4 linked regions of the Lepisosteus oculatus genome follow. The main gene of each other region encodes a partner of the protein of the gene in region 3 in a complex. Links are inferred from orthologs where the notes say so. Each region holds a gene or a part of one and is shown on either strand. Other genes may lie near its edges.

Region 1 (7,905 bases), on a different chromosome or scaffold from region 3:
CTGTCTCACATTCAGGACAATCTCTCCCTGCCTGTCTCACTCTCTCCCTGCCTGTCTCACATTCAGGACAATCTCTCCCTGCCTGTCTCACTCTCTCCCTGCCTGTCTCACATTCAGGACAATCTCTCCCTGCCTGTCTCTCTCCCTGCCCCTCTCGCTGGGACAACCTGCGGGTCCCTTTGCTCTGTAAAGCCCAGTACTTACCTGTTTGCATCCGTCAGTCAGTATGTGTGTCAGTGTGTGTGAGACAAGTGTCCGTCTGTCTGTCCTCACCAGTTCCAGCCAGGGTACGATGCAGTCGCTGTGGAAGAAGTGATTACAGGGCAGCTGTCTGACGGGCTCCCCCAAGGCGTAGTCCTCTTTACACACTGGACACTCCAGACTGGACTCTGGGGTAAGACAGAGAGAGAGGAATCACACTGTCTGCACACACTGGACACTCCAGACTGGACTCTGGGGTAAGACAGAGAGAGAGGAATCACACTGTCTGCACACACTGGACACTCCAGACTGGATTCTGGGTGACACAGGAATTACACAGCCCTTCTCACCATGTCTGCAGTCTAAGAGGAAGCAGGAGAGGTGGTGAAGTTACTGATACTAATAACGGGCAGCTTTTCTTACCGACTTGTTCCTGAGAGACATGCACTGTGGGCAGAGACGAGATTTTCTCCTTCTCAGCGGGCGGGGGACCAGTGTTCTCAAACTGACCCAGCAGCTAAGACAGGACAGTATAGTATTAGTATGACAGAGCCTTATCCTGACAACTCTCTGACACAGTGAGGCGAAGGTAGGGGACAGGGCAGTGGGACTCTAGTTCAGTCCTCACATCCAGCTCTGTGCGATCCAGCTGTACAGTATATTACCCACCAGCTCAGATGATGTCATAAAGGGGTCCGGTGATGTCACTCACCTGCGTGATGACAGCGTCCAGCCCGCCCTGACCCCATGCATAGTCCCCCGGGTTCGAGTGCAGCATGCCCGTCCTGGGGGAGATGGAGAGATCGCTGTGAGACTCCGACACGTTCCTCTCTGTGCCATCACCCCTCTGTGATGACCGCAGGGACGCCGGGGCAGAAGGGAGTAGCTAGTGACCGCAGGGACGCCGGGGCGGAGGGGAGGAGCTAGTGACCGCAGGGACGCCGGGGCGGAGGGGAGGAGCTGGTGACCGCAGGGACGCCGGGGCGGAGGGGAGGAGCTGGTGACCGCAGGGACGCCGGGGCGGAGGGGAGGAGCTGGTGACCGCAGGGACGCCGGGGCGGAGGGGAGGAGCTGGTGACCGCAGGGACGCCGGGGCGGAGGGGAGGAGCTGGTGACCGCAGGGACGCCGGGGCGGAGGGGAGGAGCTGGTGACCGCAGGGACGCCGGGGCGGAGGGGATTAGAGACTGCAGGGTGTCACACACTCGGAGAGAAACAGGATTTACCAGGAGAGAGGCGGCGACCCTGGGACTCCGGAGTTAGCGAACAGACCAGCCAGGAACTGCTGCACAATTCTGGAGACAAGGAGAGAGAGGATACTGATCTTACTGACATGTCTACAGTGAAAGCAACACAGAGACAGATATCTACAGAAAGGAGGAGGAACTGTGGATTTGGCAGAAATGCTAGGATCCCACCCTGTCCCTCTGGAGTCCACCCACTCAGGGGCAAAACACCAGCATCCCACCTCCAGTACCCGGTGGTGTCTACAGCACTACTAGACTGACTGCAGGGTTACAGAAGGTGGTAATACAGGATTAAATGTTATTAATTAAGCTGCGATTTCCTCCTGTTAAGCCTCTTCTCCTGCTGCTCCGACCTGGGACCTGGGAAGAGAGGAGCAGACAGAGACAGAGAGCACGGTGCAGAGGACAGCCCCTCACCCCTCCACGGCGGGCGAGCGGTCGGGCCGGCTGCTGCCCCGGGCCCGGTACCGGCGCTGGCTGTGCAGGCGGTGGGGCCTCCCGGGGCCCCAGGGATCGGTGCTGCCTGGCCGCTCAGGCCCCTCCTGGCTGTCCTGCTCCAGTGAGAAGGGCCGCTCGACGAACAGCAGGTGCCAGAGCTGGGGGACAGAGGAGAGCCAGGGGAGAGAGTCAGGTCACAGAGTTCATGAGCGCACACGCGCGCGCACACACGCGCACACACACGCGCACACACACGCGCACACACACGCGCACACACACGCGCACACACACGCGCACACACACTGGAGACAGAGGAGAGTGAGGGGAGAGAGTCAGGTCACAGTGTTCATGAGCGCACACACGCGCGCACACACACTGGAGACAGAGGAGAGCGAGGGGAGAGAGTCAGGTCACAGTGTTCATGAGCGCACGCGCACACACTGGGGACAGAGGAGAGTGAGGAGTGAGATCACAATGTTTGCATGCATGTACATACACCAAGAAAAGGAGCACAATACCTCTGCAAACTGTGAGGCTGCATCATCGTTGATCCCGCTGGCGCCGCCCTCCAGGAGACTGTGGGAGTACAGACAGGGCTAATCAATGCCAGAGTCATCATGTGACACACACAACAACACACGGTGACACACGCAACAACAATGACAGAACACACACTGGTCACCATTAAAAATCAATACAACAGGGTGAGGAACAACATGAGTGCCTACTTTAAACTTACAATACAGACTGTGGTCTGTGAAGAAGCAAAGCCTACCTGGAATCCTCTGTGACCTCCTCAATGAAACCAGATTCACATCTGGGACAGATATATTCCTGAAATAAAGACAACAGCAGCTCTTAAAAACAGAGATTGTCAAGCACTGACAGAGCAAGTACCCCGACTGACTGTAGTTACTGCACACTGACAGTACCTGTGACTGACTGTAGTTACCGCACGCCCATAGGATGGCTGTAGTTACCCGAGTGTAGTTACCGCGCACCGACAGGACGGCTGTAGTTACCCGAGTGTAGTTACCGCGCACCGACAGGACGGCTGTAGTTACCCGAGTGTAGTTACCGCGCACCGACAGGACGGCTGTAGTTACCTGAGTGTAGTTATTGTGCACCGACAGGACGACTGTAGTTACCTGAGTGTAGTTACTGTGCACCGACAGGACGACTGTAGTTACCCGAGTGTAGTTATTGTGCACCGACAGGACGACTGTAGTTACCTGAGTGTAGTTATTGTGCACCGACAGGACGACTGTAGTTACCTGAGTGTAGTTATTGTGCACCGACAGGACGACTGTAGTTACCTGAGTGTAGTTACTGCGCACCCACAGGACGACTGTAGTTACCTGAGTGTAGTTACTGCGCACCCACAGGACGACTGTAGTTACCTGAGTGTAGTTACTGCGCACTGACAGGACGGCAGTGGTTTCCGGACTGTAGATACCTCGCACTGACAGGACGGCTGTAGTTACCTGACTGTAGATACCGCGCACTGACAGGACGGCTGTAGTTACCTGTATAGTTACTGCGCACTGACAGGACGACTGTGGTTTCCTGACTGTAGATACCGCGCACTGACAGGACGGCTGTGGTTACCTGTATAGTTACCGCGCACTGACAGGACGGCTGTAGTTACCTGACTGTAGATACCGCACACTGACAGGACGACTGTGGTTTCCTGACTGTAGATACCGCACACTGACAGGACGACTGTGGTTTCCTGACTGTAGATACCGCACACTGACAGGACGACTGTGGTTTCCTGACTGTAGATACCGCACACTGACAGGACGACTGTAGTTACCTGACTGTAGATACCGCACACTGACAGGACGACTGTGGTTTCCTGACTGTAGATACCGCGCACTGACAGGACGGCTGTGGTTACCTGTATAGTTACCGCGCACTGACAGGACGGCTGTAGTTACCTGACTGTAGATACCGCACACTGACAGGACGACTGTGGTTTCCTGACTGTAGATACCGCGCACCGACAGGACGGCTGTAGTTACCTGTATAGTTACCGCGCACTGACAGGCTTTTGTTATCTAAACAGCAGCAGGTCGTCTCGACGGTACTTGAAGTCTCCACATCAGGTCCCAGACTGATTCCAGCACCGGAACGCGTTTCCCCAGACTGACAAGGTCCGAACCCACTCCCAGACTGGGCTGTCTATGACCCCTGTCCTCCAGCCGAGAGCCGTGACAGCTCAGTCCCAGCTGCGGACTCCCGCAACCCCTGCGACGGACGCCGCTCGCCGCTGACCCCCGAAGATGACTGACAACAGCCCGGCGGGTCTCTTCCCCTGCCCTCGAACAAACCCCCGAAATATGAGATGCACACCGACACCCGCGGGAGCGGATCAATAAATAAAATCCGAAACATTCCCTCCCCCCTTCCGCCCCCCACCAGCTAAAGCCAAACAAGGCCTGTAAACAAACTCGGAGTGTCAAGCACAGCCCCGGGCTCGAGTGCGCACCGCTCACCGCAAAAGGCGCGCCTCCGCCCGGCCTGTCTCAATCAGAGCAAAGTCGGTGGGAACCGGGACTACTCACCGGCAGCTTGGGGTTCACCTCCCCCTTACAGCAGTGACAGAAGAAACGATGTTGGGGAACAGCCGCAGCCTCCGCCATCTTCCACTGGAATATGGCACAAACAGTGACGTCGGTCCTCCAGCTCACGGAAGGAGGCGGTCCGCCACCGGCCCTGAATGCCTCTTGCGGGACTAGACCGAGATTTCATCCCCCGAGAAGACCGATCACAACCGGAAAAAGCCGAAGGGTAAAGGCCGGAAGTGTGTGGGAAGGGAGGGACTAGATTCGCCATCTTTGTGCGGGGCAAGGCAATAGCGGAAGTAGATGGCGCACACGTGTCTTGTCGAGGGAAATGGGAACGATATAAACAAGGCAGAAAGAGTTATATGCTGGGCAAATGCCGGTTAAATAAAAGTCATTGTGCTTAAGTGGTTTTGGAAAGAACCCCTTCTTTGTAAAGCAGCAGGGTGAGTCTTGAGGAGTGGGATTCTGGAATCAGCGCTTTACATCTGTAGGCGCCAGCGGTTGCAGGTCTGTCCCGGCTGGGACGTGTTTCTGTGCAGATGACGGCGCAGGAGGTGCGGCTGTGCGCGCTGCTGCTGCAAGAGCACTTCGGCGAGGTGGTGGAGAAAGTGGGGACGTTCCTGCTGAAGGGGGGTGAGCAGACCCTGAGGGCCATCGCCACGGGGACCGGGACCCCCCTGCACCTGGTAACGCGCTCTCTGACCCTTTACCTGCCCCTGAGTCTCATGGTGTGTCCTGACTTCTCTGGTCCACTCCTCCCGCTCAACCCCTTTACCCTCTCCCATCCTCTCTCTCCCTCCTCTCCCCTCTCTCCTCTCAATTCAATTCAAGGTGCTTTATTAACGTGACCGATGGGTACAATCAGTTTTGCCAAAGCAAATAAAAATAAAATTAACATGGAACAAAACAAAAAATAAAATCTACAAAGAAATTATAAAATATGTACATATACTGTAAACATATTGAGCAGATCACATACTGGGCTGCCAGTTCAACTGAGTTCCCTCCTCCCTCTCCCAGTAGGATTGGGACCCGTTGTGATTCTGGCAGGTGTGGGAACTGTGGGACTAGATTTCTGTATTTCTGGAAGAATGTTTCTCTAATCCCAGAGTATCTGTCACAGTGCAGTAGGAAGTGCACCTCTGTCTCTATTTCTCCCCGCTGGCAGTGGGAGCACAGCCTGTCTTCCCTGGACAGCCAGGTCTGCCTGTGTCCAGGCTGTGGTCACTGAGCCTGTCCTCTCTGGACAGCCAGGTCTGCCTGTGTCCAGTGTCTCTGTCCAGGCTGTGGTCACTGAGCCTGTCCTCTCTGGACAGCCAGGTCTGCCTGTGTCCAGTGTCTCTGTCCAGGCTGTGGTCAGTGAGCCTGTCCTCTCTGGACAGCCAGGTCTGCCTGTGTCCAGTGTCTGTGTCCAGGCTGTGGTCACTGAGCCTGTCCTCTCTGGACAGCCAGGTCTGCCTGTGTCCAGTGTCTCTGTCCAGGCTGTGGTCAGTGAGCCTGTCCTCTCTGGACAGCCAGGTCTGCCTGTGTCCAGTGTCTGTGTCCAGGCTGTGGTCACTGAGCCTGTCCTCTCTGGACAGCCAGGTCTGCCTGTGTCCAGTGGTCTTGTCTTGGTCCGACATGGGGCTAGTGTGTTCCTCTCCCCCCCAGGTGAAGAAGTGCCTGTGTGTGCTGCTGCAGCAGGGCCTGTGTGAGTTCGGGCCGGGCCGGCGGGGGGTGGAGTACAGGCTGCCGGAGCCGCGCGTGTTGGGCCTGCTGCGCTTCCCTCGCTACATCTACACGGCCAAGACGCTGTATGGCGACGCAGCGGAGCTGCTGGTGGAGGAGCTGCTGCAGCACGGCCACATGACCATGAGCCAGGCCGTGCGGACAGTGGCTGACCGGCTGACCGACAGCATGGAGGGTGAGAGGAGGGCCTGTCTGTCTGTCAGCACCTCGAGGGTCAAAGAGTCTGCCTGCCTGTCTGTCTGTCAGCACCCCGAGTGACAAAGAGTCTGCCTGCCTGTCTGTCTGTCAGCACCCCGAGCGACAAAGAGCCTGTCTGCCTGCCTGTCTGTCAGCACCCCGAGCGTCAAAGAGCCTGTCTGCCTGCCTGTCTGTCAGCACCCCGAGCGTCAAAGAGCCTGTCTGCCTGCCTGTCTGTCAGCACCCCGAGCGTCAAAGAGCCTGTCTGCCTGTCTGCCTGTCTGCCTGTCTGCCTGTCTGCCTGTCTGCCTGTCTGCCTGTCTGCCTGTCTGCCAGCACTTCGAGGGTCAAAGAGTCTGCCTGTCTGTCTGTCAGCACCCTGAGCTCCCAATAGTTGTTCGGTCGATGCTGTAAGTTGGGGTGGCTGCGAATGTGGGGGTGTCCCTGACCCTCTGTGCGGCTGTGTGGTTACAGAGGGAAAGAGCATGGAGTACAGCGAGGTGACCAGCGTCTTCTCTCGCCTGGTGGAGACGCACTTCCTGCAGCGCTGCCCCCCAGTGGCAGAGCGCAGCGGCGACAGCGCGGCCTGCCCGGCCCCCACCCTGGCTGATGGCGACAAGGAGAGGTACACCCTGCCCCACATCACCCTGACAGGTAGCCCTGCGCCTGGGGCTGGGGGGGGGGGCAGGCTGGGCTGACCGGCCCCCCTGTCTGTCTGTCTGTCTGTCTGTGTGGGGCTGGGGGCTGGCTGGGCTGACCGGCCCCCCTGTCTGTCTGTCTGTCTGTCTGTCTGTCTGTCTGAGTGGGGGCAGGCTGGGCTGACCGGCCCCCCTGTCTGTCTGTCTGCGTGGGGCTGGGGGCAGGCTGGGCTGACCGGCCCCCCTGTCTGTCTGTCTGTCTGTCTGTCTGTCTGTCTGTCTGTCTGTCTGTCTGTCTGAGTGGGGGCAGGCTGGGCTGACCGGCCCCCCTGTCTGTCTGTCTGCGTGGGGCTGGGGGCAGGCTGGGCTGACCGGCCCCCCTGTCTGTCTGTCTGTCTGTCTGTCTGTCTGTCTGTCTGTCTGTCTGAGTGGGGGCAGGCTGGGCTGACCGGCCCCCCTGTCTGTCTGTCTGCGTGGGGCTGGGGGCAGGCTGGGCTGACCGGCCCCCCTGTCTGTCTGTCTGTCTGTCTGTCTGTCTGTCTGTCTGTCTGTCTGAGTGGGGGCAGGCTGGGCTGACCGGCCCCCCTGTCTGTCTGTCTGTCTGCGTGGGGCTGGGGGCAGGCTGGGCTGATCGGCCCCCCTGTCTGTGGGGCTGGGGGCAGGCTGGGCTGACCGGCCCCCTGTGTGTCCCCCTGCAGGCCGGGGGAAGCGCCCGCGGGCCAGTGAGGACAGCGAGGGCGACCAGAGGGCGAAGAGAGCCAGGCTGGACACGGCGGCTCACGAGGTACTGGACCCCAGAGGAGGGGCGCCGTCAGTGCAGCTCGTCCTCCGTTGCTGTCCCTCGTCTTCCTCCTCCTCTCTCTGTCCGCACAGGCCCAGGGCGATGATGGGATCTACTGGCAGGTGAA
Region 2 (8,061 bases), on a different chromosome or scaffold from region 3:
GATCCTCCTCCTTCTCCGAGAGAGCTTCCAGTTCCTCCTCGATCTCCTCCAGCTCCGATTTCTTCCCCGATCCGTCTGCTAGACACCAGAATGCGTTATTTGGACACTGAATGAACAGTGGCACGAGGACAAATTTAACAATCGGCCAAAGCACAGCTCGGGTCTTGGCAAGAAACCTGGCTTTAAAAGAAAATCGGCGGGCGTGTGTGTTGTTAAAACAGCGGGTGCCGGGGGCCGGGGACCAGGGGACCTTTCTTCTTCCTGCCAGAAGGGGCGATGATCTTGGTGTCCTCCTGGAAGCTCTGCAGCATGGACAGCAGCGCTCGCCGGTCATTCAGCTGCTGGGTCTTGAGCTGCAGCCGCCTCAGCTCCTGCTCGATCTCCTGCAGCTCCTGCAGCTCCTGCGGGCTGGGCATGCTGTGGCCACCTCCTGGGGACGAGACGAGGAGCTGAGGGAAAACGGAACGCCGAGCACAGGCCCCTGGGGGCCAGCAGGCTGGCCAGCTGGTTACTCTACCTCGGGCCGCGTGGTCTCACTGCAGCATCGAGCTCAGCAGGGCTTTAATCACAGGGCCCAACATCCAGACCTTCACTGCTGACACAACTCTCCCCCCACCGCGCCCCAGGCAGTAAGAGAAAGAGCAAAGCTCCCAAGCAAACCCTCCTCAGGACAGAAGGCGGACCAGCTTCAACAGGACGTTGAAACCGCGGCGCAGAGAAGAGGCCAGGCAGCCACACTCCGCTTCCAGCCTGGGGGTCGATGGACTTCTGCTCCCGCATTGTTCCGATCAGGGTCGGGCACACCGGACAGGATGCCAGTCCCCTGCAGGGCACACCCATGACCCTAACCAGCAAGTCTGTGGGAGATGAGAAAACTCACCCCACCCCCAGGGAGAACACCCGAAAGAACTGAACCCAGGACCCAAGAGCAGCAGTGAATTGGCAGTACTAACCCCCCCCACCCCGGTGCCAGCTTTCGAAAGTACAGGTTCGTGCCAACAGTGTGCATACCACGTTAACCAGCAGAAACACAGCAAAAAAATCTATACGTACATTCACTGGGAGGCAGATGCAGTTGTCTCAAGTCCATTGTGAAATATAAATACGATCAAATGATTTTTATTTTTGCACTCAAGCAACATATAAGCACACGAAAAGCTTAATTAAATGTATTCCCCAATTCTCCACCCTTCCATCGTACTGTACATCTTCAACAGCGCTTGATTTAATAGATAAAGATGTTTCCATTGCCCAAGACTTTAATGTTCTCAAGTGTTAAATAACCTTTATACACAAAAGCTGAAGATCTCACCTCTCTTCAAGCCAGGCGAGAGAAGCTTGTCTGTGCAACCCGAAGCTCAGTGCAGCTCTGCGACTCCAGGAAATAGACACCTGCTCTTTGCCCAGTATAGAGAGGAGAAAAAACTGTTGCAAACACCATATTTAAAGTATGTGGTATAGTACAGTGTCCTTAACACCTTCACTTATACTTTAAAACGAGGCATGAGATCAGTAAAAACAATGTTAGTATACACATCTTCGGCTGTATAACACACTGCTATATACATCTATGCCCTAGGAACCCCCAAATCCCACCAAATCCCTGTATATATGAAGGATGGGGAATTCAAAGAAGCATCTAATTTGTTTGCTGTAATGTTCACTGAACTGTAAATACCACAGGGGACAAAGGGCCATCTCATCTGCCCAAACCAGGGAACGTCATTGAACAACGCACACTCAACAAGTGGAGCACTGCAGTTTTTTAATGCGGATTTTTCACTTGACAATTTTTTTTTACACAGAGAAATCAATGTACAACCATCTACAAAATGTGAAAAAATACAGTTTTTTATGAAATCTCTATAAAACAAACCTAATGACACAACAGTCATACAAAGCTTTCTCAGTGTACAGAGCTGAACGCTGGAGTGAGCAGAGGTGTATAGCTCTTCAAGGGGAGTGAGATGATCCTCACAGCTCCGTCTCTGCACACCTAAATCAACAAAACGTCCAGAGAATGACACGCTGACATTCTGTTAACAACACTAGCTTACCTGAAACAAACTAGCACTTTAAAGACAGCAAGTCATGGAGTACAGGTTTATCTTAAGTGGGCTGAACTCCGTTCGTTACATCACTGGGTGCAATGTGTTTAACATTCTGCGATACATAATCCACTAGCGTCACCGAGAATTCAAAACAATGTCGGGTTCTGATGTCGGCGATGTAAAACTTCAAAAAGACTCGTAAATCAGGACACACAAACTGCCGGGGCTTGACCAGCACAGTGAGCGCACAGTCGCCATTATAAACTTTCAAAGATCTGATAGACATTTCCTTACAACACTTCATTTTGCATCTTTCAGATTTCCAGAACACGGCTCTGTATCGGTCATTTGGACTGTGAAAAAGCCTTAGAAAATGAGTATATAAAGGCTGAATCAATTCCTCAAGCACAGTGAAGAGAACTAATTTGAATATGAAGACATATATTCAAATGCGGTCTACATTTGAACTTTTTTTTTTGGCTTGGTGTTATTTATAACCCGGGTACCAAACAGGTCAGACTTCAGGAAGCAAGGCACCAGTAGCACCTCAGAAATGCCTGTGTTGCATGCATCCCACAGGGCCGAACTGAGCGTAGAGGAAAAGGAACCCAACTCGGGCAGAACTTCTTAAGTAACTGGTAAATCTGTAAGACGCTACCTTGTTTTACTTTTTCCTCAGTTTCTTGCCAAAAGTCACTTCATCTCTGTTCCTTATGCCGTAACTGTGCAAAGAAAAGAGAGAGAGTTTTCAGGACAAAGCTCTGGGGTTCCACACAAAGAACTCTCTCTGAGCAAACCTGAAAGTGAGGTTATTCCACACAGTTTTACCTCTCAACAAAATAACACAATCTCCACCCCCGCCTGCTGCTGTCTCCTTTAAAACCCAGTAGCAACAAAGCACCTGGGATGGTCTGGTTCGAATGAGCCCTAAACCGATCGGTTATCTGCACATCGCCACATTCTGCGATACATAATCCACTGTTGTGTCCCTCGCTTCACAGCTCACAGAGCACAGACACTCACACTCATCAGCAATGCCAGGGAAGGGGAATGTTTGTTTTTACTTACTCCTTCAGCTTCATTTTGTCGTCTTCCAGCTTCTCCCCGTTGAAGATTAAGTGATAGGTTCTCCACACGTACCTCCTTGAAAAGGCAGAAATCGGAAAGGACGAGCGATGAAGTTTACCTCGCACAATTACGCACAGGATGTGAAAGAAAGATCAATGTTAAAATGACCCTACAGTGATGTCTGACTTTAAAGTAATTCACGCTTCAGCGTCTTATCCCAGAGTTTTTACAAAAAAAGCATGCAGGATCTCTAGTATTTGACCATGTTGTCAAAAGGAAAAATTCCCCCGACTCCAGTCTAGACCGTTTTATTGTATTTTTCGACTGCAGGACACTCTACCAGCTGATGTGCTTCACCCCTCCTTCACGCTGCTGTTTCAGCTCCAGGTATCTGCGGATGGCTTTCTTCAGATCCAGCACGGAGGCGTTCTGCACCACCACGATCGCTGCAAGAAAGCACCGCTGTCTGAAAAAGAATCCCTCCTCTCATTTTCAAGTTTTCTTACGATCTTTAACTACCTCAACCCAGAGGGTCGATGAACCTGTCCTACACGCCTGTACTGAGTAGCTTAAATCACTCCGGAGTCGCTTTCACATCTTGTGGTTCACTAGTGACTGTGAATTCAAACAGCTGACAGCCACTGGGCCTGACCAAGTCAGTGACCCAACAACCCCACAGAGAAGCATCTGGTTGCCTGATTTCCTGCGGATCATACAACAGGTTAAGAGGGGGGAAAAAGCCAAGAAACAAAAACTCGTGACTCACGCATGACCTCCCCGTCGGCCTTGCAGACACGCACAGTCATAGCCTGGCCATACTCCAGAGCCACCTGAGAGCTCACCTCCTCCAGAGTGACCTGGAGTGACAGAAAGCCAGGCAGGAGGGTTCAGCTGTGGAACGCTCAGTCCCGAGTCCCAGAGGGTCGTGGGTTTGAAGGGTTTCAAAGTCATATTGGGTTATTCCCCCACCCCACCCCAGCTTCACAGCTTTCACACTTTTTCTATGCTGCAGCCACACGTGCCCTCCTGTTTCATGTCAGACAGGGATTGCTGCCAAATCTGTCTTGCTGGGTTACACAGCTTATCCAGGATCCAGAAGCCGACGAGGCAGATAAACCAACCTGTATCGGCAGGTCGCAGAGCAGGGGGTCCTGCACTATCTGAGCCAGACCTTCCTCGAAGATGTCCAGGAACTCCGCGTGGGGCAGGGCTTCCTCATCTTCCTCTTCCTCCTCCTCCTCGACTTTTTTGTCCTCCGTCTCTAGCTCTCCGGTCTGGTCCTCCTCTTTCACCGCCGCTCCTGCACCGAGACCCGGGGAACCTGTCTCCACCGCCTCGGCCATCAGCACTCGGGGGGATGAACACACAGCGGGGCCGAGTAGACCTTAAAACAGGCCCTCCATTCAAACCCACACCGGCGGACTGCAATGAACAGACTCTGTGTGCAACATGACAAGGGGTCATCACTCATCACGGCCAGACGAGAAGAATTTTAAATCAATGCTTAATGGTTGCACTGAACACAACTCGGTCTATCATGAATCAACTAGATCAATTCTGACAAGTATATTCACGTCAAGTCCAGTTATTGCAGAGTATTCATCACACCTCCAAAGAAAAACCGCCACCTTTATAAAATGAGACGCTAAATAGCACTCACCACTGCTTCTCCTCCGCTGTCTTCCAAAACGGACGCTTAAACAATTCTCGGGTCCGTTCATTTTCACTTCCCCGGAGAAACTAGGCGACTCTTGTACCTAGGACACTGATACTCACAAATATGGAATATGCCATAGACAAAAAGTAACCTAATACATTTATACATTACCTAATATATTTCTGATTTGATAGTGGTTTAAACTGTTAACAGTTTCGACCACAAATGCGACTCGTTTGCAGGCGCTGTGGGAACTGTCTGAGTCAGGAATTGTTTCCTAGCGGACACTTAAAACTGCGTGACACGGGAGAGTTTGCGGCGTGCAGTTTGAGGAATTCGCGAAAAACTCGTCTTGAGGTTCGAAGACGTCTTTTTCAACAAATACAGTTGTTTTTCTTCTGAGATAGGAGATGTTGCTGTTCTGTCCGACCTGTGGAAATGTCTTGATTGTGGAAGAAGGGCAGAAGTGTTACAGGTTTGCGTGTAACACCTGTCCCTATATACACAACATAACTAGGAAGGTAAGAGAGTCGACAAGGCTCTTGTTACATTGCGTAGGGTCTCTATCATCGTGCCTGAGTCGTATACTTTAGTATTTTAAGACGTTTGTTATATTTTAATAATTGCGTTTGCTCATTGGGTATAGATGCGTCACAAGCAAACATATTCAGCGGTCCAAATTATGATGCAGCTTTTTGCTAACATTGTGTATCATTTTGGATTCATTTCTCTTACATTTTTTCCCCACTATCTCGAGTCAAGCGCAGTAGTTGGGCTGTACCCCCCCCCAGTGGCTGAATCTTCCTGCTGCTCCTCCTTCACGGGGGCAGCCGAATCCTGCGTGAAAGTAAAATCGTTTAATGAGTTTGTGGAAACCTGGTTTAACCCCCGCCCACCCTGGCTGAGGGCTACCCTCCCGGCCATGGGGCGAGGAGACTAAGACCCCATGCCCGGTGAAAAGGTGACCAAGGTGTAGTTGCACAAGCAAAGATGGGGATGGAGGAGTAGGGATGCGAAGCGAGCGAGGGAGACAACAGAGTGGCGTGGGGTATATATGGGAATCTGAGAATTTATGGCAGGATTAGTTGCGTGTGGAGTTTAATTAGTTTAATTTAATGGCGCTATGCGTGCGCCTCCGAGAGTATTCTCATGGGCGAATGTCACCTGAAAAAAAAAAAGACCATCGGGACCCCTATAATCTGGGCGAAAGGTCTAGAAGGTCTGCAGGGCGGGTGGTGCTCTGCGTGTAAGACACCCGTCTTGCTCGTCTTCCTGACGCAGCGTGTTCTCGATGCTGTAGGTCACCAACAGAAAGTACCCCAAACTGAAGGAGGTTGATGACGTTCTGGGCGGCGCTGCGGCCTGGGAGAATGTGGATTCCACTCCAGGTAATGTCACTCGAGAAAGGGGAAAACAAATCCCCGTTTTTCGTTATTCGTTGTCTAGTGCAAATGTGCCGTGGGCCAAAGATGGGGAAAATCCCGCATTTTTCCCGAGGTGTCCAGTGGTGCGAGTCAGGAAGTCCGGTGCCAATCCTACACCATTTTGTCATCTGCTACCTCTGGTGTCTTCTTTCCAGAGACCTGCCCGAAGTGCGAGCACCCCCGGGCCTACTTTATGCAGATCCAGACCCGTTCGGCAGATGAGCCCATGACCACCTTCTACAAGTGTTGCAACCAGCAGTGTGGGCACCGCTGGAGAGACTGAACGCCGCAGGGACCGGCCCTCGCCTCGCTGTCTGATCCCCCGCTGTGTGTTAAACCTCTTAGAACAGGCATGCTGGCCGTCCCCCCCCCAGGTTAGCGGCCATCGGAAATTCTCATGTGTACTCCAAGTGAAGGAGCCATGCTAAGTTTTTGAACAAATAATTAACGGTCCTGTGGCATCTAAAGAATCACTTCGTTGAAGTGATTCAGGATCCCCAGCCGAGATATAGCAAAAACACCGTAGGGCTGCAATTGAAACATGACACTTGTCTGTCTTGAATATTCCCAGGGAAGTTCTTGGTGTTGGATGCTGAAAGGGCTCTGAGGAATGAGCAGACAGCCTGTTCTGTGCCAGACAGACCTGTTGTGGAGTAGCTCTGGTTGTAGTCGTATTAAGCTATTTAATACGTGTATATATTTGAACAAAGTTCACCGCACTGAAGAGATTACCGGGTGAAATATGAGAGGAAATGTGAAGCTGTCATTCTTTTACAGGTCTTGAAGTGAGCAGAATAAAACTGTGTCGAGTGATCCTGTGTTCAAAACCGCTGGTCATTCAGAACCAACATATTCTTAGAAAGCTAAAGGAAAGAGGCTGGTTCTCGCTTTGCTTTTTGTTTTTATTGTTAAAAGAATAATTTAGTATCCAGTGCAGTAGTAGTGGAGCAGCTCGCATGGCTCATCTTACGCAGCAGTGTAATTTACATGGCAACACAGATAGAAACAGAGAATACCGGTGACTGGATTGAAGGTGATCTCATTGTCTTTTCCTAAAAAAATACTTGTGCACTTCAACCCACCTTTAACATCACAGCCTTTCCACAGCACTGCAAGCCACTTCACATTGCGTACAGAGAGGGCTGGAGCGTACAATGTCAAAGGAGGCCAGCCTGCTTTTGCAAAATATCCATAAGAAGCTCGAACATGCACTGCCATGGGACATTTACGATATATCATCAATTCATTTTTACTAGCTGCAGCCGATAGGCTTTTTCAGACTTTGAAACATGCTAGGTAGTTAATAGCATAGTTTAAAAAATAGAAATATACTGGAAATAAACATACCTAAAAAATGTAATTAGAATGGAATAATTAAGGTCTGAATGGCCGACAGAAGCAACAATGTATTTTTCATTGAGTGCTTACTGGCAGGTGGCTCCACGGACAAACCACAAATCTTTTTCTTTACCACATTCAAAAGGTTTTGCACCCTGCAGTGTTCCTGCTTGATATCATTGGGCATTTGTGAAGAGGCTTGATCCTTGACACTTGGTCAAAGTTGCGTAATCCTGCACATTGGTGGCGGTGGAGGGGAGTCCCCATTACCTGTAAAGCGCTTTATAAGTGTAAGCAATTATTATTTTATACCAGGAAGCAGAGTTTCATCAAAACAGCTACTTTGTGAGTGTAGTGAAAACATTAAGAAAAAATGTGAAATGCTACATATGTATTTCACCCAGACATAAGCAAGAACTTAACGCATTTCATACCATGACTTGTGGCAGTCAGACAGAACCAATAAAGTTATTCCTTAACAGAGTTGGTGCTTGGAATTATCTTATTGGTCTAAATGTCATCT
Region 3 (7,572 bases):
CAATGCTGTGTACAAATGGAGGAGACTGCATGCAGCAGCACTGCACCATTGAACACCTGGAACACATGATCATTCTCACCCACTTATATTACAATAATCTTTTGACTATTTAACCAATTAATGACCAACACATTACTAAACTTTGTTTACATAAACAAACTAGAAGACCTCAAGGAAAAGAACTGTCAAGAACTGTCCAGCCCTTCTTCAGAGAACTGCCCTGGGCAGTGAGAGAAACCTGGCCCAAAGATGATCCAGAAGAGTCCACTCACAGCCACTGACTTCACAGCCTTGATGAGCTTTTTGCTCTCCAGGTTCTTCAAGATCTTGTTAATCTCCGTCAGAGGGAGGTTGCTTTTGTACCGGATATCCCTGCTCCAGATTCCTGCCAAAGTCAAGGGAACGATAAATGTGTTTATAATACAAATTTATTTTACAAAGACCACTGTAATCAAAATTCCTTTCCACTAGAAATATCTTTGAGTTAAAGATCTATCTTTAATGAAGACACTGGGCATGTTGGTAAATAATAAAACAGTTTTAGTTATTAGTTCTTTTCAAAGAGCCCAACACTGCACGTATAGTACTAAGGACATCAGCCATGCTGAGCTACTGGTTTGGATTTTCTGTTTGTGATGAATTAGTGCCTCCTGGTGGTGCCCCAGAGTTACTTCTGTCAGAAACCTGAATATCCTAGTGTGCCCCATCCCAGTACTACCTGACCTGCTCCAGCCCTGCTTAGCTTCAGAGACCTGAGGAGGTGAAGCTTCTAAGTGGCAATGAATATAGACAAGCTGTGTAACAGTTTTAATACGTGTAATCTTACTAAAGGTATGTTCTCTGTGATTCTCTTTAACCAAAGATTATTAATAATGCAATGCAAAAAACACACTGAAAATATATGACAAACTCAGGTCCATGGAGGTCTGCAAATATGAACCAATGAAACTGAAGCATTGTACTCGTTCACTTTCAAAGAACAGCAGTAGTGCAGCCCACCGATTCACTCAGAACTGTGAAGCAATGCTACCCCACTCGCGGCCTCAGTGCTCCAGTTTCATTTGTGCTCTAGATAACTAAGTCAGACTATGACGTTCAATGATAATGATGGGACATATTAAGGATTTTGACAGGTAGGCAGTGGCTTTCAGCTGAACAAACTCCTGATGTCAATCTGAAGAAGTGATTGGAAAACAAACGGCTCAAGGCAAACAACTGCTCCATATGAAGAGGTTATTACAGTTGCTTAACCTCCTGTTCTCTCATGTCTTCATCTCCTACACAGATAATTAATGTAACGTCTACAGTTACAGCAGTGCAGCAGTGTTGCCGTTAATGTGGTGAAGCACATGTGCAAATGAGCAGATTTTGATTTCCACAGCAGAAAGCTCACCTTTGTTTCCGGCATCCTCTATGACCTGATACACCAGCTTCTCCTGGTTGTCTGAGCCCTTCATCTTACTGGTGAAAAGAGGAAATTTCACTTTAAATCACTAGCATGTGATTTAAATCACTAGCACACAGGAGTACATGAATGATGATGAACTGATATTCAATTTAATCATATAACCAAATGCAAAATGTTACGATATAGGTGTCCATCAGTGTAAGTACAGACAGACAGTGCATTTTCTTTAAACTCACTGAGAAGACATTATACAATGCTGACCACCTTACATTACAAAGAGAATCACAAATTCAGCTTGCACGCATAAGACCTATTTCCTTGACTGAAGGTCACTACAGCTCTAGGCAGACTCTAAGGTGGCAGAAAATCTGTGGTTCACTTAGTTTGTCGAGCCTCTTGAACACTGCTACATAATCATGAGAAACATTTTTACCCTACTGGACAACTCTCATTTTTGAGTTATGTTACAGTGATTACACTAAATACCACACAGTTGAAGAAATATCTAACTGCTTAGAAATAATTTCTGTGTGCACAAAGAAGTCCTTCTATGGCAGAGCAGTACAGCGCCAAAATGTCACCCTCTCAGACTGGAATACAACTTCAGCTTTCTACAGAAAAACTGCTCATCTCCAATTTTAGTTCAATCAAAGCAGGGTCTATCACGTCCAATGGTGTTGAGGTAAAAGGTATGAGCACCTGGCCACCTGTGCGTCTTTCAGCCTGTACAGAAGACCATTGCTGTTTCTCAGGAGGTCCAGCTGACCCTGAAAGATACAAGAGACAAATCTTACATATTTATCATCCAATAAACAGATATCAAGCAGCTTCTCAGCATGGAATAAACTCCTTAGATTTGTTTCCCTGTGTGTCAATTATTAATTTCCTGCATTGAATGTACAATTTTAGGTCCTCTGTCTTTCTATTGTCTGAGAACAGCAGTATTAGGTGAAAAGAAAGAAGGAGAAGGCTCAGTTTACGATCCCCACATAATAACTGAATAGTTATCACAATGTTCCAATAACAGGAGATTATAAAAAGATGTTTAAAGGCATCTTAATAATCTGCCAAATACCAACCATTGTACATTAAAATAAATGAGTAACTAATGAATGAAATGGAAAATAGTTTGGAAACAAACCATTCCTCTTCCTCTAAACCAGCGTGGTCTCCCCAGTCCTTGACAGGAGCGCAGCGCTAGCTAGTGTGCTGACAGCAATGAAAGAGGGTTTGTGGGATGTACCATGGAGAGCAGCCTGTTGATGGCCATGGCCCGCTGCTGTGGCTCCACATGCGGCATGTCGTTCTGGATCACCTGGTCTGTAATTCCGTGCGGGAACTGCTGGCACAGCTCCTTTATTCTGGAAGTCGGGAATGACTGAGGGTCAGTTATCCAGGTTCTCATGCTGTCATTTCTCAGTTGTCCTCTACGTGTTTAATGTACAACACGCCGTATTTAAAGCTCCTTGAAGGACTGCATACAAAGTTTTGGTTTGGACAAATTATCCAACACTTAGACAAGCAGAACCCAGCAAGACATTACAACAACTCGGTACACGTCATATAAAAGGAGACCTAAAATAATCTACTGTTGAAACGCATAGCCTTCCCTGCTCTCAGAAACTATTGGACGAGTTCCTAAGATCGATCAAATCCATTGTCCTAACGATCTACACAGAGCCCATGACCTCTCGTTCGTGAACTGTCTTATTGTAACTTGTATCTTCAAAACTGCACGAGTTACAAAGGTCGCTGCATTTAAGAATATCGCGACACTTTCAGCTCCAGCGAACTTCAATTTTTAAAATAATCTAATTCTAAGGTGAAATGGCGCTAGGCAAAACCACGTGACTTGAACACTTTATTAATCAACGTAACAGCCTAAATATTTTTTTTTTTGTCGGAGACGGTGTGTAACGTTTCTTGAGCGTTTTTGTCTTGTTAACTTCGTGTTGACATACGGTTAAAAGAAGACAAACCTAACCTGTTTTCAATGTCCACGGGATCCGCAGATTCTTGTTTTACCTTAACTTCTGCCATGTTCAACTGACAGAAGAACACAACTGAACTATCCAGTAATCCCTAATTCACGATGAACTCCGGAACACCACCTCTATGTCAACACAGCTTCTCTAGGTGGTAACCATGCTGCATTTCCGAAAAGGTTGGGGTCCTTCTACCTCGTGTCGCAGTTTTAGTAGTCTCTCTGAGTGCCTGACCAAAACGTGAAGTTAAAAAGCCTATACCGCGTAGGAAATCTTTCAAATATTTTTTTATTTTATGTTGAAGTGCACGAGAAATTAAGACTATTTAAACACCCAGACATAATTTAATTGTAATACAATTGTATATACGTGATGTACTTTACGTTTGTAAAACAGATACATGAGATGCATTTTTAGAATATATGTTTTTAAATTGATCTTTAGGTTTAATCGGCTTAATTAGTGATTTAAAGATGATATTTGTGTTATTAGTCTCAAGAATAGGTTTCAATAGCCAGCAGCCAGATCACCCTGCAACTCACAACTGGAAACCCACTGAAGCTCAGCAGGTGTGAGCCTGGTCAGTACCTCCTGGAAGAGGTGTTAGTGGTGCCAACAGGGGGCGCTCACCCTGTGGTCTATGTGGGTCCTAATGCCCCAGTATAGTGACAGGGACACTATACTGTAAACAGGTGCCGTCCTTCGGATGAGACGTAAAACCGAGGTCCTGACTCTCTGTAGTCATTAAAAATCCCAGGGCGTTTCTAGAAAAGAGTAGGGGTGTAACCCTGGCGTCCTGGCCAAATTTCCAATTGGCCTTTACCAATCATGGCCTCCTAATAATCCCCATCTATGAATTGGTTTCATTACTCTGCTCTCCTCCCCACTGATAGCTGGTGTGTGGGGAGCGTTCTGGCGCACTATGGCTGCAGTCGCATCATCCAGGTGGGGGAGGGAACTCCCCATTACCTGTAAACAGCTTTGAGTGGAGTGTCCAGAAAAGCGCTATATAAGTGTAAGCAATTATTATTATAGGTTTCCACTCCATGTGAATGCAGCTTTTACATTAGGTGTCCGAGCTTTGCTGTTTTAGCAGCCATTGGTCCGCTGGTTGCTAGGGGCCAAGCTGTCCTCCAATGGGATTCTGAGCTGCGCTGTTGTGTTGGTTACCGTAGCGTAGCTGGTTGCACGCAATTCTGGTGCGGAGCGCGACTGCACAGTCCGGTCATTGATTGATTGTATATGTGCAGATATTAAATTAAATAGGTACAATTTATTTTTTCTTGGGATTTTAAAATATACATCATCGCAGTTCGTGCGGGGGACGAATGGAAAGATCGTGAAATCACCTTAAATCCATATCCAGGATTTGTTTCGCCTTCAGCTGGTAATTGGAATAAGAATGCACACTTGTCGTGTTTTTTGTACGCTTAAAATTGATCGGAAACTGATTCAGAGGTAGCCCGACAGTTTTCCAATTACAGTTCTTTTTAAATAGCCTTAAGATCAGAAAAAGAGGTCTTTAATTGCGTGTCCCGTTGTGTGACGTTGAGTGAAGTCCTGACTGCTTGTTCATTTGTTCATGACAGATTCCAGCGCTGTGTGTAAGAGCAGGGCTGTAACCCTCAGGTTCGGGCTAAGTTCCGCTCTGGGTCTTCACAGTCTCACAACCCTCACGCTCTCATTAATTCGGTAGCTGAACTCAGTGAGGGGCGTGATGGGTCTCTTCCTGTGTTGAACGATCCTTTTGGACCCTTTGTGTAGCAAGATGTTGTTTTCTGTACTGATACTGGTTCCAGTGGATTATTATTATTGTTGTTCTTATTGTTATTACACAGAGCGATCTAGACCTGAGTAACTTGTGAGTAGTTTTCAATCATACATGGTAAATATCTGCCTCCTTCATGCTGCCTTGAGTGTGCCGGTCATATAAATGAATTGCATTAAATCATAGGTTTGGAACGTTTTGGTTCAAATGGTTTATTTAAAAAGAAAGGACAAAACAGCCAATCGCTTTGATCAGCAGGTAGAATATCCTACAGCTGCTGTATCTGCCCTCAGGAGCCCCACACTGCATGTGCATGTAAAGGACTGCTCAATGCGTGGTCCGAGAGTGTTGTGTAATGCAGCCCAGGGTTAGATCCTGGCTCAAGACACCAGGCCGGAGGGGTGCAGGCTGGGCTGGCGCTCCAGGTTGTGACTCCAGGCTGTGACCCCCACCCTGTGGGGGCTGCAGGATGGAGGTCAACATTCCGGCTTCACTGTCCGGATGAGCTTTTCCTCTCTCCGGCTGTCCTCTGGGATGCAGACACAGCTTCCTGCTGCGCTGGCTGCAGGGCGTGTTCTGTCTAGTTCTGATCCTGGGCAGGATACCCAGGCACAGCTAGTGGAGAGGTTCGGGTTCGGGGTTTGGAGGGGGTGTCTGGGTTTCTGTGGAGAGAGTTGTGTTTTTCTGGAGCAGGACAAGAGCAGTTCATGCCTGGGATCTGGTTCAGCACCTCTACTGGCCTGGGAAAAGGGGTACTAGCCTTGCTCTCACCAGAAGCAGTTTTCCGAAAATGAGAGAATGGATCCTTCTGCATGGAAAATAGACGAAAAACCAGACCTGCCCTGTAGTCATGAGTGATCACAAATGAGACGCTGTATTATAGACATATACTGTTCTGCGTCACTGTCTGCTGAGTGCATGAAAACTATGCATCTATATTTGACTGGACTTCTACTTTTCCAGGCTCAGTTCGACAGAGCTGTCGTTTTCTTGAGTGAACATGACGGCAGGCTCGATCGTGGCACCTCAGATCATTCCCATCAGAATTCCCCTGCCTGGCAAGGCCAAGCACCAGATAGACACCAACACACCCGTGGAGATCAAGTCAGGTAAGAGCCAGGAGCACCAGGTCCAAAGTCTTCATCGTGGAACCATCGACGTCCTGCCGGGGAGCTGCTGTGTTTTCTGGGATTTTGCTTGTCTTGCTGAACATCCTCCAGCATGTTATTCAAGTCACTGGAAATGCCAGAGGCTGCAGTGATGTCCTGATAATGTTGTGCAATTTTTTTCTCAGGTAGATAATAATGCTGTACCTTGTAGAAACTGACCTTTATATAAGGATATCCTCCACATGTCAGTCGGTCACTCTCCCACTAAAACAAACCAATCAGTTTCAAAACGAATTGATCCAATTCAATGGAACTTCCTCAGCTGGAGTTGCAGGCCGTGTGCAGAGGCAGTGCTGGCCAGCAGACCTGTAACTCTCTGCAGGGAAGGGATGGCAAATGGGATTCAGGGTTTTCTCTACGCGACGAGGGGAATATGAGGGACTAGGCTGGTGTGTCAAATTTGAGTGGCTGACGAGGTTACAGCACGTCTCCTTCACAGACACCCCAGACGTCAGTATTTTCTTCACCCTGGACGGCAGTAAACCGGAGGTGCTGAAGAAGCCGGGGTTTGGAGAGAGCAGCACACTGCGATACCGGGGGCCCGTAGCCTTACCTGAGGGGAAGGTAACGGTGAAAGCACTCGCTGTTAGCAGGTGGGTCGCAAAGGAAGGTCCAGGGTGCTTCTGGCCCCCTCCCACCGAACCAGGAAGTTTGGTTTAGAAATCCTGATTCAGAGAGAAAAGAGGAAATAGCGCCACCTACTGGTTGACACCTCCAGTAACAGCTTGATCCTGATACCTCCCATCCTAGCACTGACCTGGCCTTGCCCTGCTTATATCCCGGGAGATAATGATGTTAGAAAACAAAGGAGGATCAGCTGTTAACTAGCAGCCTGAAAGTGGTTGATTGCAACAAGCAAGGACTGGGCATTAGTCAAAGAAGTTAGCAAAGGTGCAGGAGGCTCAATGTGGACACCCTGATTTGAAGTTTCCAGCTTCTGTAGAGTGCAGTTAGAATGTACCTGTGTCACTGAGGTGTCCAGAGCCTTCAGACACTCTTACACTCTCTCTGCAGCAGCTGTTTGCAATTTAAATACCAGCCTTCTGAAGGCTAACATGTAAAACTTTGCTTTGCTGCTTTCAGATTTTTAGTTAAGTGCTGAATTTGACAAAGTTTTGTGTTTCCAAGTAGAATATTTTTGTTATGTCTTGTGTGTGCAGTTTGTTTCAGGGGCATCTGATCACCGTGGTGTCACCAAGAAGCTGAGCTTCCTCAGCCCTGCACGTACAGCGGTGCTGATGA
Region 4 (7,974 bases), on a different chromosome or scaffold from region 3:
TCTGCCGCGACTTTCCCGGGAGTGAGCCGTTCGTCATCATGAACAAATGCATAATTTACCCGACGCCCTAAACTATACATCTAATTTATTTTTTAAGTGTACGTGCAGAGAGCACTCGTGCTGGAGCATGCAGGTAAGAAAATAAGACGGGTTACAGCCTGGAGGAGGCGACTCGGCCTTTCTGATGACAAGCTCGGTTGCTCGTAAGTAATTGATACAAAGGTCCACCCTTTTCGCGAAGGAAGTCAGGTTGTCGGCTCTGGCAACATGACTGGGCGGCTTATTCCAGACCCCACAGCCCTTTCTGTAAATATTCCCCCCTGTAATTAGATTTAAATCCCCCTCCCATAGACGCACTTAATTTGCACTGGTGTTTTGCTGTTGATTTTGATCAATGGTCCCCGTCTTTGTCAGTGCATCGGGGAATTGTGAATACTGGAATCAAGTTCTCAATACTAGGTGGGTCGAATAGCCTCCTGCTTTGAACGTTTCTCTGTTCAAGATTAAAACGGATCCTTTCGTATAGCCTCTCGGGGCAGGTAAATAAATGTAATACCATGGCAGTGCAGCTACAGTAGCAGAAGCTGGACAAGCAATGCTGGAGTCAGGCAAAGAAATAAAACGGTAGACCTAAATCAGTATACAGAGTGTGAATACCAGGGTGTCACGTAAACGCCCCATAGGTAAGTTGTATTCATAGTAAGGGCAATTAGCACGTTACTTTACCAGTCTGAGGATGAAAAAAGTCAGATTTTGCCAGTGTATTGAAACACATAGCTGAGAGGCCACAGGTGCCTTGTGAAGAGATTCCTTAGTACTGCGTTTCCCTTGCTCGGCAGAATTTAAAGAGATTAACTTTTGTTAATTCGGAGACGGGTGATAAACACTTCTCTGTATGAAAACCTACCCAGATTAGTGAACTAAAACTAACGAATTAGTCATAATTAATACGGTAAAACATTTTTCACCTAGAAATCTACTTGAAACTAAGGGGAAAAAAACACCGGCGTGACATAAACACTTCAGATAATAAACCACGCGTTTAAAGAACGTGAAGAAAATAGCCTTAAAACATTGCGAAACCATACAATGCATCTGCAACATAATTTAATATTGTTTTTAAGCATGGCCCCGTAATAATAATAATAATAATAATAATAATAATAATAATAATAATAATAATAATATTTTTAGCAGGTTCACAATGTGTCGTGGAGCTCAGAAGCCTGTTTTTTCTACGTTATATTCGGTATTCTGGAGCGACCCACCTCCCTTTCAAATACAATCAGCAGCTTTTACAGGGTCTTTGATAGGAAATGAGCGGGTCTTCACTATAACTCAATTTATTAACATTTCATTTTCATTGCCCTCTGACTACAGGACATATATTCTCCTTATCGGTCATATGCCATTATATGCTGTGTATTACTACTACATGTCTTCTGGAAAGAATGATATTATCGGGCTTCTCGTTCACACCGACTAGAAACAAAAGCGCAACTATATTCCCGTCTGTCAGGCGCTTCAGAGGTCCTGAAAGTAGGAAACCTCCGCAAAGCCAACACCGAGGAGGCGGGATCCCGGCTGGTTTTGGTTCAGGGACAGCAGTCCGCACCGAGCAGGAGAGGGCTGCGCCTTTAAGCCGCCGGGTGTGGCCGGAGCGTGTCGGAGGGGCGCAGTCGCAGGTCCGAGCCAATCACGAGCCCCTCGGACCTTGTTTATCCACTCAGCTGCTTTTTCTCCCTGCAGGCTGAGCGCCTGTCGCGGTCTCCTCCTGTTCTGCACAAGCCAACCCTGGTTTGCATTGCGCCTCCTCACCGGACCGGACCGAGTCTGGATTCGGGGCTCCACGTCCCTGACAGCTCGGTGTCTTTATTTTATTACGCGTGGGTGGGAGGCGGGTGTCGGGATGTCTGCGACGGAGTGGTACGCTCACAAGTGCCTGGGCGACGGCGTGTTTTGGATCCAGGAGAGGTTCTACGAGTCGGGCAACAGAGCGAACATCTGGCTGGTCCGCGGGTCGCACCAGGACGTGGTGATCGACGCCGGCCTGGGCCTCAGGAGCCTGCCGGACTACCTGCGCGCCAAGGGGCTGCTGGGCGAGGAGTCCGGCCGGAAGAACCCCCCGCTGGCGATCGGGACCCACGTCCACTTTGACCACTCGGGCGGGCTGCACCAGTTTCGCCAGGTGGGGGTTCACAGAGCCGAGGCCGACGCGCTCGCCACGGGGGATAACTTTGAGATGGTGACCTGGCTGTCGGACGGCGAGATCGCCCGGGCTCCGACACCCGGCTGGCGGGCCAGCGAGTTCAGAGTGCAGGCTGTGCGACCCACTCGCGTACTGCAAGAAGGTGAATATCTCTAGCACATATAGGCATGCACCAGAGCCGCTTGTGCGTGAAAGGGACGGCGACGGTGCGGTGCGTGGTCATATTGCGCGTTATGATAAGGTAAACTAATGCCTTACCGTTCCGGACACCGGTTTTCAACAAGTGGCGAAAAATACCCGTGGCATCTGCTTAATTAACAGCAGAGTTACACAGAGGCCGTCTCGCATTAGCAGGGCTAATCTGTCGCCCTGCTGGAGGTACGTTCAGCGTCTCTCGGCCCGACGGAGTGAGCTTTAAAGACGCCATACGGCGAGGAAGGTGGGGGAGGGCGCAGGCTGCGCTCTCGTTTTTCCGGTGTCGCATCGAGAAGACGAGCTTGAGTATTATCAAAAACTAAACATAGGTTTCCACAGACGTGCGGCGTTATATCTCTAATAAACTATTTCATTAACGTTGTTGCTTGGGGGTATTTTTTGTAAACGGAAAAGATATCCAGAACACAATCTTGCGCTCGGTGTATTTATGCGATCTGTGCCTTTCCGATTGATTTGGACGTTTAGGGCTCATAGCCAATGAAGCAAATAAAAGCATTGGTACCGGGTCGAAGTACTCCTGTACCACACACTGCTATTCTAGACGAGCAATGAGAAAATTGCGTTAAGGAGCGTAATCGGTCCCAAATCCGATGAACTGCATCTCTACAGATTCATCCGCCTCCTTGATTCGTTACAAGAAGGATGACAGACTGCCTGCACTATAGTCACAATCTTCCACCCCCCTGAAGACACCAGAGAGGGAATAATACTGTATCTCCAACTAGCAGCGCTCGGGGGGTTGAAACGGCCTCTTCGCTCTGCTGCTGGTTCCGCGCAACACTGTAGCCCAAAAGTTTGTCAAAGCACGGCGGTGCAGAAAAAAACACGTTCCCAATTAAATATCCTAGACTCTCTGAGAGAACTATATCTCTGGGGTTACGGGGAGATACTACTGGAATAACTGCACGTCTGCCTTTATTATTCCTAACCAGGAGCTGGTTATTGCGCAGTGAACAGGTGATCGCGCCGTGGCAGTGGGGTGTTTTGGGGGGTGTCCCGGCGGGACTGCGCAAGTTCTGTGGCGTCCCTCGTCCGGGCAGACCGGGACAGGCGATGTCGGGCCGCTGTGGATCGATTTCAGCCAGTTCCGGTAACAGAGTAACTGGACCTGGGAGACTCTGGCCTGATATTTTCGCACATGACCTTCACAGCAGCGCTTTTGTTCTGTCCTCTCACTGATACTTCAGTGATCCCACTGTTGGCACAGTACGATTCGGCACAGCTCTTCTCACACCCAGCTGCAGGACACCGACGTTCCTGCTGAAAGAGACAAATCTGCAAGCGCTGATATTTCTGATATATATCAGAAATTATTTCTGGTATATGGGGAGCCTACATGAGTTTATTTCACTTACAACGGGAAACGTACAAAATGACGAGAGTCATTGTCAAAACCAGTACAGTTTGCAATGTGACCATGGGTTTGTATAGAAGTGGCATTTTTATAAAGCTTTTGGGAGATACACGAAAGAATGCACTAACCTTTACACATATTCAGACGTTAGACTTGAGGTCAGTCTCTCATGCCTTGACCATTCTGCCCTTCTATTATAAGCAGAAAACTAGTGAAAGACTTGGACACTTTGAAAATACTCTCAGCAGGGTTCAATCTGAGATGTCTACTACCTTGCAACCCACATACTGTCTTCAGAAATACATTAATTCATTAATTTCACATGCAGTGTTTAAAAATCCTCAAAAACGAAATCAAAGTGGACAAGAAGGCAGTAATTAGGATTTTAAGAAAATGAACTGGAAGTGAAAATTAAGTTTGCATGCAAGTAGCTGGTAAAATAACAACTAGTAAAATGGAAATCCTTTACTGTGGATAGTAAGCTGTTCTTCCTGTACCTTATATTCACAACATGAGAGAGTGTGAATGAGGAAAGTGCCCAGCTGTGATACCGTGACATCAGTATTGCACATCTTCAAAGCAGCAGTTGCTGTAAAAGTCTTTTCTCTTAATGAACTAACACATCTGAAATACGTGACTTGGCTGGGACCCACTCGGAATAGCTTCTCCTGTAGAAAGACAGACAGAGCCTACGGCTGCTCTACTAGATTGTGGAACCTGAGATGTGGAAAAAATATCCCTGCTTTAGATGGAAAGGAAAAGTGACATCATGTTTTATTGACACTAATAGGGAAAACTGAGGGATATTGATTATCCATAGAATAACCATCCGTAGTTCCTAGCCTTAAGCAGCCTCCATTTTCCCTGAGATGACTCAAACTTTCCCAGGGATTTTCTTCCAGCGTGTCCGTGAGAAGTTTCACAGCCCACCAGTAATATTAAAGGGGGACTGTAACATTATTTTCATATTTCGGGGTCAGCATTGATGTACACAGTAACTGGTAAAACCTCCAATTGACATCACAAAATACATGAAATTTCCAGGTATGTGCAGTGCCCTGTCCTGCCATTCACAACGAGGCAACAAAACTTGTGGTGAGATGATGTGGCCCCATTACGTTGTAAATAAGCCGGCTTGTGCATACAGCTCTTTTCATCCGATAGAAATATTGTCTCAACTTCGAGACAGTTTTGCAGACAAATACTGCTTGTTAGCTCTGCATGGGGATCACGCTGGAATAATTCTGCGGTGAAATGTCGGCTGCGCTACCTGTACTTATTCGCTCGTACATCGCATTGCATTGGTCAGGGCAGGAACTAGTGAGCAGGAAGGGCCGGTTCACGTTGCAATTCTTGGGGACTCGAATAAGTTCCCAGGGGTCTGCCACAACACGGCGACTCCGAATGCACGGTTTTGTGCTTACTTTGAAATTTGTGAGTTTTCTTCTGTACTGTCGATTGATTTAGTTTGTTACAGGTAGGTAGGTCCTTTTACAGGCCATAAAGGCCCATTGGGGATAGGGGGGCAAGGGCCACCATTTTTCTTGACCATCCGACACTGGAGGTGATGTGGTCAGCATCACGCTCCGGCTGACCGATTTCCCCCGGAAGGATTAACCCCGGTACTCGCAGGTTGAGCGGAGCTGGGAGCCGTCTGGAAGGAATTAGGGCAAGCTACATCGCTTAACCCTACCTGGGATTGAACCCGGGACCTTCCGGTCAGGAGCTAGACGCCCTTGCCGTCTGCGCTACCACGGCTCCGAGTTGTTCTAGAGGTCTGAGAAAGTGGGACTGCAGTTCTCCTTGAAGAAGGTGCTCTTGCTGTTTCCTCAGGAGACGTCATTAACCTGGGCGACAGGCAGCTGTCGGTGCTGCACATGCCCGGCCACTCCAGAGGCAGCATCTGCCTGCACGACAGGGACCGCAAGATGCTCTTCAGCGGGGACGTGGTGTACGACGGCTCCATGATCGACTGGCTGCCGTACAGCAGGGTCAGCGACTACGTCTCCAGCTGCGAGCGGCTGGTCGAGCTGGCGGACGGGGGCCACGTGGAGCAGGTGCTGCCTGGCCACTTCAACACCTTTGGGGCCGAGCGGCTGTACCGCATCGCCTCCAGCTACATCGCCAGCGCGGGAGGGTGCCACCGGTTTTCCATGTGTGCCCTGAAGTCCGTCGCAAGCCTCGTTCTCCGTGCCTGCAATTCTAGACACGGGTGTTGACTGGGAAAGGCAAACGGCTGCTTTATACGTTTACAGTATTTTGTTTATGCTAACTGTCTCAATTGATGAAATGTGTTCGTAAAATTTAGCCCAGTACTGCAGTTGCACTAATTTTGACTTTGAAATGGTAATTATTGCACTAGTTTTGATTCTTAAATGTGTGCGTGTTGCAAATGCAATGATTTGGGTTTGCACATGGATGAGTGTATAGCTTTAAGCCTCGAGGTACAAAGAAACATACTTGAAGCACGTTTGCATTTTTTTCTGTAGCTTTCCAAAGCATGAAACGAGGAGTGGCGGAGCACATATCATTTGCTGGGAATTTCGTCTTCACGTGAGACATGGAGAAGCAAGTTTTTATTTTGGCTGATGCTGGTTTGCTGTTGTGGAAGATGGAATGATCTCACTGATGCGTCCATCATCTGGTCTCCGTGGCCGCTGTGTGTCCAGAGCTCCGTGACGCTGGACAGGACCCTGGTGTGCCTCTGGGCTCATGTTCATACACATGGGGCAGTTTAGAGATGATAATTTACCTGGGCAGCATGTTTACTGGGGTGGAGAGGAAAGTGTTCAGAGAACACGACAACAGGCCCCACAGGTGGACTGTTCACTCACACAAAGCCAGATTTGAACCCAGATCCTTGGAGCTGTGAAGTGAGGGCACAGTCCACTGCTCCAGCATGCTGCCACTCATACCACAGTATCATAAGCAAAGACAAGGACTTTTTTAAAGCACTTGTAGGCTTTTGACTGGCTTAGTGGCAATTCAGGGTGGTTTACCAACCCAATTTTATTCAGTTAAGAATGATTCTTTCAGATTCTTTCTGTTTTGTATCTCTGTGCAATCTTGATGCTGAGTTTCAAATTTTGAGTGTTTAACTTCAACTTAACTTGTGTTTCCCTGGATGACGCGAGAAGGCAGGTGGTCATAATTGCTAGAAAACCTGTCCTGTGCTGTGATGGGGGTAAACTTGGACACTTGGACACCTGACCCCTGAGCTTACTTTTGCCCTTTTTCCACTTAAAGTAGAGCTTCACCCCTCTTGTTTTTGAATGTAGGTTAGTTAAAGGGAATTTTTAGTTCTTCTCATAAGAAGGCACTGATTTTTAGTAGATGACTTTAAAACATTAAAACAGTATTTCTAACCATTCCAAAGAATCCCACAGTACTTTACTAATGAGAGAATTGACTTAAGGAGGACATGTTGTGTAAACGCAGCGTGGAGTTTAGGAAGGACTCCTTCTCTCAAGCAGAGCTATGGGATCTGTAGTGACTGTGTAGTCTGAACGTCAGTTTAATTGTTTAATTCAAACACCATCTCCTATAGCACGGTGTCCCCGCAAACTGAGGAACCGGTTTGAGAATTCAGGTCCAGAGGAATCGGCACCACCTACTGGTCTTCTAACATCTCTTAGAGCAGCTGTTTTTCTTTTAGAGGGCATGCCCATACTGACCTGGCCCAGGCTCACTTAGCTTCTGAGATGTGTCAAGAACACTGTCACACACTTAATTATACAGCAGAGGACAGTTTGAGCATTGCAATATTTGTTTTTTCAGATCTGGAATTCAGTAACATGCAAAGATCATGCATGTTTGTGAGCATTAGTTGCAAAATCACATTTATTCTTACTGGCCACCTTGTTTTTGTGCTGACACTTCTCTCAACAATCGTCTGAATTTAACTTTCTGAGTCACCATCTTTGTGTTACGAAAATACCTTTCTTGAGCTTTGACCAAAGCCAGTTTTTATGCGGACTTCTAAATATACTTACATGCATTGTGGCCAGTTGAGAGGTTCAGCTGGTAAAGGCTCTTGCCCTAGGGCAGGTGCTGCTCTTTGAACACGGGTTCAAGCCCGACAGAGTTTTGGCACACTACTGGCTCTGCTGAGCACCACCAAGGGGAGGGTGGGGCTACTTGGCCAGGGCACTTTTGGCTCTTGGCGACCTATGTGGCCTTCTGGGTTCGTACAGAC

What was found.
Region 1: polr3f (region 3) and polr3c share a complex: the UniProt entries of both Homo sapiens proteins name them as parts of the RNA polymerase III complex. The link is inferred for Lepisosteus oculatus from reciprocal best matches to the Homo sapiens genes POLR3F and POLR3C.
Region 2: polr3f (region 3) and polr3k share a complex: the UniProt entries of both Homo sapiens proteins name them as parts of the RNA polymerase III complex. The link is inferred for Lepisosteus oculatus from reciprocal best matches to the Homo sapiens genes POLR3F and POLR3K.
Region 4: polr3f (region 3) and polr3g share a complex: the UniProt entries of both Homo sapiens proteins name them as parts of the RNA polymerase III complex. The link is inferred for Lepisosteus oculatus from reciprocal best matches to the Homo sapiens genes POLR3F and POLR3G.

Annotation. Positions count from the first base shown.
Region 1 is NC_090722.1:7,225,416-7,233,320, reverse strand, and holds the start of polr3c (DNA-directed RNA polymerase III subunit RPC3), read left to right. Parts: upstream 1-4,542; coding exon 4,543-4,677; intron 4,678-4,945; coding exon 4,946-5,140; intron 5,141-6,104; coding exon 6,105-6,357; intron 6,358-6,833; coding exon 6,834-7,013; intron 7,014-7,695; coding exon 7,696-7,781; intron 7,782-7,861; coding exon 7,862-7,905. Other genes in the region: rnf115a (E3 ubiquitin-protein ligase RNF115), read right to left, coding at 274-389, 625-718, 914-986, 1,426-1,494, 1,864-2,042, 2,403-2,460, 2,660-2,718, 4,452-4,529. UniProt on the Homo sapiens protein: DNA-dependent RNA polymerase catalyzes the transcription of DNA into RNA using the four ribonucleoside triphosphates as substrates.
Region 2 is NC_090714.1:15,977,308-15,985,368, forward strand, and holds polr3k (DNA-directed RNA polymerase III subunit RPC10), read left to right. Parts: upstream 1-4,961; 5' UTR 4,962-5,001; coding exon 5,002-5,133; exon of another isoform or gene 5,134-5,186; coding exon of another isoform or gene 5,187-5,297; intron 5,298-6,076; coding exon 6,077-6,164; intron 6,165-6,355; coding exon 6,356-6,483; 3' UTR 6,484-7,013; downstream 7,014-8,061. Other genes in the region: uncharacterized protein, read right to left, coding at 1-334; snrnp25 (U11/U12 small nuclear ribonucleoprotein 25 kDa protein), read right to left, coding at 2,716-2,773, 3,120-3,194, 3,460-3,565, 3,886-3,976, 4,241-4,462. UniProt on the Homo sapiens protein: Core component of RNA polymerase III (Pol III) which synthesizes small non-coding RNAs using the four ribonucleoside triphosphates as substrates. Can mediate Pol I proofreading of the nascent RNA transcript.
Region 3 is NC_090712.1:581,361-588,932, reverse strand, and holds the start of polr3f (DNA-directed RNA polymerase III subunit RPC6), read right to left. Parts: upstream 3,581-7,572; 5' UTR 3,449-3,580; coding exon 3,393-3,448; intron 2,770-3,392; coding exon 2,652-2,769; intron 2,176-2,651; coding exon 2,108-2,175; intron 1,462-2,107; coding exon 1,394-1,461; intron 386-1,393; coding exon 273-385; intron 1-272. Other genes in the region: dzank1 (double zinc ribbon and ankyrin repeat-containing protein 1), read left to right, coding at 6,162-6,270, 6,770-6,923. UniProt on the Homo sapiens protein: DNA-dependent RNA polymerase catalyzes the transcription of DNA into RNA using the four ribonucleoside triphosphates as substrates.
Region 4 is NC_090698.1:72,665,356-72,673,329, reverse strand, and holds the start of polr3g (DNA-directed RNA polymerase III subunit RPC7), read right to left. Parts: upstream 3,191-7,974; 5' UTR 2,468-3,190; intron 2,352-2,467; coding exon of another isoform or gene 1,910-2,351; exon of another isoform or gene 1,550-1,909; intron 1,119-1,549; exon of another isoform or gene 1-1,118. Other genes in the region: acyl-coenzyme A thioesterase MBLAC2, read left to right, coding at 1,910-2,351, 5,613-5,998. UniProt on the Homo sapiens protein: DNA-dependent RNA polymerase catalyzes the transcription of DNA into RNA using the four ribonucleoside triphosphates as substrates.